Cricetulus griseus: one gene and its partner. The protein of the gene in region 1 purifies or fractionates together with the protein of each later gene. This does not show direct contact. Links are inferred from orthologs where the notes say so. Each region holds a gene or a part of one and is shown in the gene's direction. Other genes may lie near its edges. The genes, in order: Cpvl and Capzb.

Region 1 (4,309 bases):
TTCTGTTTTCAACTCTGTGTGTGTGTGTCTGTGTGTGGGTATGTGCACTTGTGTGCAATTGTCAATAGAAGCCAGAAGAGGGTGTCAGATCCATGGATCTGGAGTTCCAAGAGGCTGTAGTCAGGCAGGAGTATCGGTGGGGCTACCAGACTAGGAGAATTCTGGGAAAAGGAAGGCAGAGAGTGAGTTGCCAGCCAAATGCAGAGGAAGCAAGATGAGAATGCCTTACTGAGAAAAGGTTCCAAGCCACGTGGCTAAACACAGATAAGAATTATTGTTAAGTTGTAAGATTTTGTTAGTAATAAGCCTGAGCAATAGGCCAGTTTATAATCAATATAAGCCTCTGTGTGCTTATTTGGGACTACAGGATGGGGCAGGGCGGTAACTTCCTTCTATGACTAGGATTAAAGGTATACATGTGTCTAATTTCTTAAGTTTACTTATCAAATGAGCAGAGGGACATGGAAATAGAATCCTCCATCTCTTTTTTTCTGTTTTGTTGTTGGATATAAAACTTGTGATTTATAAGTGATAGAGGGATCCTAAAAAACCTATAGCTTATTTTAAATTCCCCTGTGAAGTGCACTGGAAACCCTTGGTCTCCTGTATGTTCGGTGCCAGGTGTGTGTGTGTGTGTGTGTGTGAGAGTGTGTGTGTGTGTGTGTGTGTGTGTGTGTGTGTGTGTGTGTGTGTGTGTGTGTGTGTGTGTGTGTGTGTGTGTGTGTGTGTGTGTGTGTGTGTGTGTGTGTGTTGTGCATGCATGTGCTTTTCCTGTTGCTCCCATACTGAGTTCCACCCCCTCTCATACCCGCCATTCTGCAATGATGGAATGGTCCCTGCCCCTCACTTACTCAGGGGCCATTTCTAGAGCCCTGGTTGCTCCCCAGTTTTGCCTAATTCTTTACTGGATCTACTTTCCAGGCCGTAGATTTTTAACAGTTGCTTCCAGGTACATTGTAAATCTCTTGCAGAATCTTTCTGTATGTACCCGAGGTCATGATCAAGAGGGATTGGGTGGGTCTGATTTATTTCCTGGTGATGTCCAAAGTGCTCAGTAAACTGCCTTTATACACAATAGCAAAGGTTTTCTTGCTTTGTTTGCTTTGCTCTTTTGGTTTTCTTTTAGTAAACAAGTAGATTTCTTGCATGTAAAGGGGATAGGCAAATACTGACTTTTGACTCATGTGTGGAATGTTACTTTTCTTATCCCAGGCCAAGAAATGGTTGGTATCATGTGGAAGGTGATTGTTTCATTGATCCTGTTTATGGTCGTTCCTGGTGATGGATTGTTTCGCTCCATATACCGAAGCACCCATGTTTCCAGGCCATTCAAGGGAAATGCAGGACAGCCTCTGTTTCTTACCCCTTTTATCAATGCTGGGAAGATCAAGGAAGGTAAGTGTCAGAAAACTGCTCCTGCGTTTTCAATGGTGTTTTAAAAGCAACCATGCCCCAAGATGTGAAACACTTGTCAGTATTTTTATTCCGTTGTTTTATTTCAAATACTAAAGACTTGATGTCATGTATTATCTGAGTTTTGAGCTAAAATGAGGTGGTTGGAGATGGAATATTGATATATTTAAGTTGCAGACTTTCTCTTTATAAAACCTGTGAATGTCTTGAAGTGGGCAGCATTGACAAAGCCACTACAAACCTTGCAACTTTTGTCTGTGGATGTTGACATTAGCACTCGGCTACAAAGCAGGGTGTGTCCACATAGGAAGACTGAAGTAGGAGGGCCAAGGACCTGCCAGAATTCACACAGATGCCAGCTGGTGGGTGTGGCCTCCACACTCAGAGGGCTTCCCTCCACCCACTCTGCTATGCCTCTCACCTGGCAAGTTATTCACAGAGTAGGCTTCAGTTTCCTTGTCAGAAAGAGTTAACAAAATTAGCATCTTATATAACTTGCAAGAATACCAGGAAAATCTAGTGAGAGAGAAATACAAAACAAAACAAAAACTTAGAAAACTCCCCATATCCTGTACATTTCTTCCCAAATCTTAGTCATTAACAGACTACCAGGCGGTTACTATCTACCAGTTAATAGAAAGAAGTCACAATTGGTGTTGTTAGACTAAAGTGTATGATTGCATCTGCTCTCTCTCACCGAATCTTGGTGCCTAGGTAAGTCACCGAGGCCACAAAGAACATCCTCTGTGGGAACCTGGTTGTCCCCTGAGCTACAAGTAGTGCACAGACTCTGACTTTGAGGAATTGTTTGTACAAAGGAGCAGAGGACTGGGCTGGTGGCCAGAGGGAGTCAAGGAAGGGTAGCAAAGAGGAGACAGACAATGAGTGTTTGCTGAAGCAAGGGATGGGTGAGGTGTGATCTGAGGAGCTGCTGGCGGGCACTGAGTGTGAGAGACACAGAGGAGGGACTTGCTGGAGGGTCAGATGGGACTGAGGGTGGAGGAGACCAGAAGTTTCAGGGAAATACTGGTTTCAAAGACCAAAAGTAAGTCTAAACACTGTACAAGGAAGTTTAAAATAAAGCGGTTTCCTCAAAGGAAGTGTCCTCACAATCAACAGGTTACTATCACTTTTGTTTTCTTTGCTATAAAGAGGGTTGAATCCTACCCTCATGGTTTCTCCATGAAATCTGCATAGGCTCTGGACTTTGCCAGTTCTTTGCTACAGGAAGGTGAAAACACCTTTCTTGTGTAATCAGAATATGTAAAAAGGGATTCAGTTTCACTTTCTGCACCAAATACATGGAAAGATGGCTGCCTGGCCACATGGGCTGATTCTTAAAGATGTATCTGAGTAGGAACACAACAACCACCCAACCCCACAGTGCCGGACGGAATTCAGCCCAGCTTCCTTGGTAACTGCAGAATTAATGTGCAGATTTATCTCATTAACAAGAAGTCAGAGAAAACCATTTGATGTGGAGTTGTAAAGGGGTTAAGGTCATTATAACCAAGTCCTACCCAGCCCCATGCAAGGAAGGAGACTCGCGCATCTGGATTTGCCCAAAGGAGAAGCTGGGAAGAGAGACTGGGAGCAGAGGAGCCCATGGGGCTCAGATCTTCTGGTTTCCCCTCTGTGCTTTGCCTACTGTGGTATATTTTTTCTTGTTTAAGAAGCTCGTGGTTTTCTGATATAGATGTACTAATACATGGGAACCAAGTAAGGAATGAAGCTAAAGTGTTACATCCAAGCTAGGTATGCTAAAAGTTCGAGAAGGAATGCTATTGCTATAATCTAGGTAGGAAATAATAGTAGTAGTGACAATAATTACCAATAAATTATAAAGTCTACATTATGAATAAAAATAATAAATGACTTAAAATAAATAATAAGTGATTAGTAATACTCAGTTGTTAGTTCCTATTACTAGCACAATACTTTTATGTGGTAGGCACTTAGTAAATACTTATGTGATTTACATTTGAGTTTCAACCACGTGCCAGGAACCATGTTTGCCATATCTTAGCTCATGTAGGTCTCAGAGCAACTCTAATAAAGAACATATAATTATTGTTCCTATTGCACAGATGAGAAAACTGGGGCTCTAGGAAGATAAGTATCTTTTCCAGAGCTACAAAACTAGTAAGTGGCAGATCTGGGATCATAACTTTTGTCTACCAACCATACTATGAACCACTGTGCCATGTGACAATCTCCTGACTCAATAATGTAGATAAGATATGGTGGCCCAAAAAGGGTCTTTATACACACTGAACTAGGAGACAGCTAAGCAAATGCATTAAGTGGAGAAACCATCACATGTCTTTGTCCTGTGTAGCAGAACTGAGTGAGAAGAACACTGCAGAATCCACCTGAACAATGGGTCATCCCCTTTGAGGCTTAGGGGCATCCCAGGGTCATGGGCATACACAGTAAGGGAGAAAGCTTCATCTTTAGACATTTGGTAGCAAGCCCAGCAGATCCTCTCCCTATGAATGGCAGCATTTGAGACACCGATTGATACATAACTTCCATCATTAAAGTTGTGTGTCGTACTCAGAATCGCTGAATGGAATTTGAATGGTGGATCCCAAAGCTGGTACATCTGGGGACTCAGATGCTGCCCAACAACATAATTAAGGATAATTTTATTCATCCGCCTTACTGAAAGTTCAGGGAGCTGTGGACAGATGGGCAGCTCCCTCTTTAAATCCCCATTGTTAGTGGAATCTGTCAAAGCTGCAGGAATGGGAGTCTTAACATGGCAACAGAACAGTTTTGAGATAAACAGTGGTTCAGAGAAAGACAAGGGGAATTTTTATTTTTTTAATACCCAATTAGCTAGCTTAATTTTATGTAATTGTAATTGCATGTTTGCTTTCTCTGAGGCTAAAAA
Region 2 (4,553 bases), on another chromosome or scaffold:
AATGCCTGGGATATACAAAGCTTCCTGAGGCCCTATTCACCCTATAAACCAGCACACAAGAGGCTCACAGTCTTTTTTTTTGGAGGGAGGTCATAGTTTGCAGCTGTTCTTGAAGCTTTCTGCTAACACAATTCAGAATGGCCACTGGCCTCTTTGCTGTCTACGAATACATGGGGGGGGTGTCTCTGCCCTTGGGGCTGTGTGTACACTCCACTCCCATCTTTTGCTGCCTTGGACCATCCTCCCAAATGCCACCACACAGTGCTTAGCTACCTCTGCTTACCTCCTCCATCCACTCTGATGCTTTTTCTTAACTCACCTCCTGACAGCATTCAAGCTCAGCAGCGCCTTAACTCAGGGCAGGTGTACATATCCAGCTTGCAGGAGGCTCCATCTCCTGAAGCGAAATTTCACCTACAAACTCTAGGCTAGCATGAGATATTTTGCCCATAGCTGCAATCTCCATAGTCTGCATAATGCTTGGCCAATTGTTACACAATAAATACTTATGGAGTGATGACTTTCTAAGTGCCACTCCCTTCTCTGACCTCCTGTAATACTGGTCTACTGCCACTCTTGAGGGACTTAACCATTCACTGGCTGTTCCTGAAGGCTCTCACTTGTTTATGAGCTCAGAGGCCTCGGGCATAATCTTTCAGGGATGAAATTTACTGATCCCCACTCCCACCTACGACCTGATTTGATTTTAAATAGAAGGTGAGCAAGTCTGGTAGGTAGGTATTATGAGCAAGATTTGCAGTCTAGATTAACTCAACAAAGCATTTTGAAAAGTGCATTTCTAGGGCTGCGACTTCAGTTCAGTGTAAGAACATCAGCGTAGCAAGTATGAGGCTCTAGTTCAATCTTCAGTTGTGAAAACAAAGAGGGATTCCTGAGTCACTGGATGGAGCGAGGAAAAGACTCATTTGGCAAAAAGGCTGATTCTCTGCAGGTAATGTAGAAAAGTATATCTAACAGCCAGCATTTATTGAACCCAAATGTTCTATCTTTGTACCCGCGTCTTCCTCACGACCACCCTGTCTGGTAGCCAGGAAGTGCGGGCAGGGATCCTTCAGGCTTATTCTCCTGTCATCTTCTGGTACCTAAAGGCTGCCTCCCCGGTCGTGATAGCGGGTGTTCAGCCACAGGGGCGGCAGCGCCGGCGTCCCAGTGCAGGCTCCGCTAGCGCTCTAGGGGCTGGGCCCCATTCTGGCGCACCAGTTCCGGGTCCGGGTGGGGCGCGGAGGGCCGGTCCCCTCCTAGTTCAGGGCCTTCCGCATCCTCCGCCCAGGGGGGCCAGTGAACCGCTCCACCCTCAGGTACCCCGTGTCCTCCAGATGCTAGATGGCGAAGTGGGCAGCAGGAGGGTGCCACGGCCGCCTAGGTCCCTCCGGTACGCGCGAGCCCCGGGCTTACGGAACCAACGCGCCTGGCCCGCGTAGGGCCCGCCCTCCCCCATGAGAACACGCCCACTCGACCACAGGACCCACCCCCGTCCCCGCCCCCCGCGCAGAGCTCCATACTTGGCGATCGCCGCGGCCCCGCTCGCTCATTGGCCGCGAGCTGGCGGCGTGGGGGGGGTGGCTGGCGGGGAAGGAAGGTGGCGGCGGCCGGCGCGGGTGGGGGGGAGGGGGGCGCGGACCCGGATGTTCACTCTTGGGCACCCGGGGGAAGTGGAAGCGCCGGGCCCTGCTGCGGGGGGGAGAGCTACAGACGCCGGGACAGGGACCGTCGCCGCCGCCGCCACCATGGTAAAGGGACCCCCTCCACGGCCCCATCCCGGGACCCCCCTCGGGAGCTCCCGTCTCCTACCCCGCGGACCCGCCGGCTCGGGGAGGGTGGGACCCGGGGTGGGGGAGGGGTGGGGTCCGGGACCCTGGGCAGACGCCACCCCTCAGGTCCGGAGGGGTCGGCGGGAGGCTCGGGTGGTGCGTGACCCCGCCCTGGGCTCCATGTGGAGCCGGGTTCTTTCCCCGGCATGTCCAGGCTAGTCTCGAGGATCCCAGGCTAGACCTTCCTTCCCCTAGAGGCCGGGCCAGGCACCCCTCTCTCAGGCCCGCATCCCACGGCCTGAGCTAGGCTTCCCTACCTCGGCCCCAGGGCCCAGGCTAGGATGGTGCTTCTCGCTGCTGCGACCTATGCTAGGCCCCCTCCACTCAAACTCTTCTCTCCATGGCCCCAGCCTGGACCCCGACGACCCCTTTCTAGTGGCCTTAGCCTACGTTTGTTTCCTTCACCCCCATGGAATCTTCTGTCCGTGGTCCTCAAGTCTGGACTCTACTCCTGCTGTGCCCTCCACCTGCACCTCCTTGGCCCTGGCCCTAGCGATCCCCTTCCCCCAGACTTCTCACGACTTGGCTTAGTCTGCGTCAGCCCGCCGTTCTCATCCTCACCCTCCCATCTAGACTCTGCTTGCTTGGTGTCCTGCTCCCGACCTAGGTGTCTCCTCCCCTGTTCCTAGGACGCTCCTTCTTGGCAGTCCCTGGCAAGCGGGGGAGAGCCCCAGCCGGGGTGGGGGTGGTCCGGGTACTGTGCTTTCCTATACTTGAGACTTGCCCCTTTGGGGAGGCTGCTTCGCTTCGGAATGAGCGAGCGAGCAAGAGGCATAAGGGCGGCATCTGTGTGCCCGGAAGGCAGACCAGGGCATTTCCCGTGGCCGCCCTGCCTGAGAGGGGAGCAGAGTGCTGACGGTGACGAAGCCGAGTGGACAGGGATGAACGCATAATCGCTCTTGTGAGGTCGCGGCATGGGGGCTGGGGGGACACCAAGCTCAGAGACCAACATATGGCCTGGATACGATGCACCCTAGCAGGCGAAGCCTCCCTTTCCCCCTGAACTGTCAGCTTGTAAGGGTTGGAACTTCTGATTATGGAGGTGTCTCGGAACAGGTGAGCAAAACTCGCAGGCTGAGACTTCCCTCTGGTTGAACCCTGGTGTGTGTTTTGGTAATGAAGGCAGGCACACTGTGTGAGCAGCTTATTTGAGGAGCCTTAGGGGTGTCCCCCCATAACCCTGCCCCCCATCCACTTGGACACCTTCTGCAGAGCAGGTCCAGCACCTAGATGGAAGGGCCTCAAATGGTCAAGGAAGCTTGAAAAGTGGACAGTTAAGGCCATCCACCTGCTGCATGCCTCACAGCCTTGTGGTCGGCTCCCCTCCTGCTGATGATAGATGTTTGGGAGTGGACTTTGAGCTCTAGATGTTTTGAGGAACCCTGTTCCTTGTTTAATCAAGGGTGTAGCAACTGAATTAGGGTGCCTAATTCTGGTTGGCTAATAAACTTTCTATATATTGATTTAAAATGTAGGCAAGACTGTCTGTCATACTATTGTTCTTTGAAAACTGGCCTGGGGGTCTGGACTGTGGCCTTAGTCCGCATGGGGAAGGACTTGTCTAGGACAGTTTTGGGTGAGACTTTTAAAAGTCAACTGAAGTTTTCTATGTGTGCTCCGGGAGCCAAAGCCAGAGATAGTGGTGGAGTGGAGTGGAGTGGCCAGAGTCCTCTATGCTTCCCCTGTCACCATCTTCTGACAGGTGAAGAGAGGCTGGGGCATTCATTGCATCTCATTCAGAGCATTGCTCAGTTTGTGGATGGACCACTCTTGGCCAGTGGAAGCAGTGGCTTGGCGGGCTCCAGACAGTGATCTTCCTGGTAGGCTGTTGTATGTCTGATATAATGACATTGTTTAAGAAACGTAATGACCGGATGCTCAAACATGGCAAGGGCGGGCAGAGTACTTATTCCTGCAGACTGGGTGTGGATATTCCTGGTAACCGGAAATGTCATCTTGATACAGTAGTATGGTCTGCCTGGACCTGATCCTGAGCTCTTTGGGGACTGAGATTTTGGTCTGGTGTTTTTGGCCTCTGTCTGTCTGGGTTCTAGAGCAGAACCTAAGACTGAAAGATACAGCATGGAAGGCTGACACCTGTAATCAGCTGTTAAGGCGTCCAGGGCCAGCTTGGGTAACACAGTGAGAGTGAGACCCTGAGTTTCAAAAAAGAAACAAGAGATTGCTTAGGGTGTCTATGAGCTTTAGCCACTTGAGGTTTGGTGCTCATTCACTCAGCAGCTTGTTTTTCGTGTCCCCCAGGCCTCTAAGTAATTTCTGACTGCCTGTTGTCAAATCCGTACCATGCTTGAATGATCTGATGCCCTGGTGTGGGCAGTTGGATCAGTTGGCAGAGTGGAGCTATATTATAGGTAATGAACACCATGGTTTTGTTTTCAGTGGGCTTGGTGGCAGAACAAACAACTCTAGCTCCAACTTATCTGCTGAGGGAAAGAGAAGCCTGAGTTTTTTTTTTTTCTTGAGTCTGGTTCACTGTCCCTGTTAAGAATGCTTAGGCAAATGCATTCCCTTTGCAGGCAGTCTTACCACCGTCCCTAAGTGCTTTGCAATTTCAAAGCACTTTGCCTATCAGAGCTCTGGCTTCTAATTTAGGGTTATTATTCTGAGTGTTAAGACGCTGTTGCTTGATTGTAGTGCTGTAGTAGTGAAAGGCCAAGGAGGTTCCTCAGGAGCTGCCACTCCAGCTCAGATGGCATTGCA

The links.
Region 2: the proteins of Cpvl (region 1) and Capzb purify together in Homo sapiens (affinity purification with mass spectrometry; 3 studies listed by BioGRID and IntAct, with this or other methods). This does not show direct contact. The link is inferred for Cricetulus griseus from reciprocal best matches to the Homo sapiens genes CPVL and CAPZB.

What each region holds. Positions count from the first base shown.
Region 1 is NC_048601.1:87,358,470-87,362,778, forward strand, and holds the start of Cpvl (probable serine carboxypeptidase CPVL), read left to right. Parts: upstream 1-1,220; coding exon 1,221-1,395; intron 1,396-4,309. UniProt on the Homo sapiens protein: May be involved in the digestion of phagocytosed particles in the lysosome, participation in an inflammatory protease cascade, and trimming of peptides for antigen presentation.
Region 2 is NC_048595.1:14,117,150-14,121,702, reverse strand, and holds the start of Capzb (F-actin-capping protein subunit beta), read left to right. Parts: upstream 1-1,631; 5' UTR 1,632-1,646; coding exon 1,647-1,751; intron 1,752-2,783; exon of another isoform or gene 2,784-2,798; coding exon of another isoform or gene 2,799-2,888; intron 2,889-4,553. UniProt on the Homo sapiens protein: F-actin-capping proteins bind in a Ca(2+)-independent manner to the fast growing ends of actin filaments (barbed end) thereby blocking the exchange of subunits at these ends.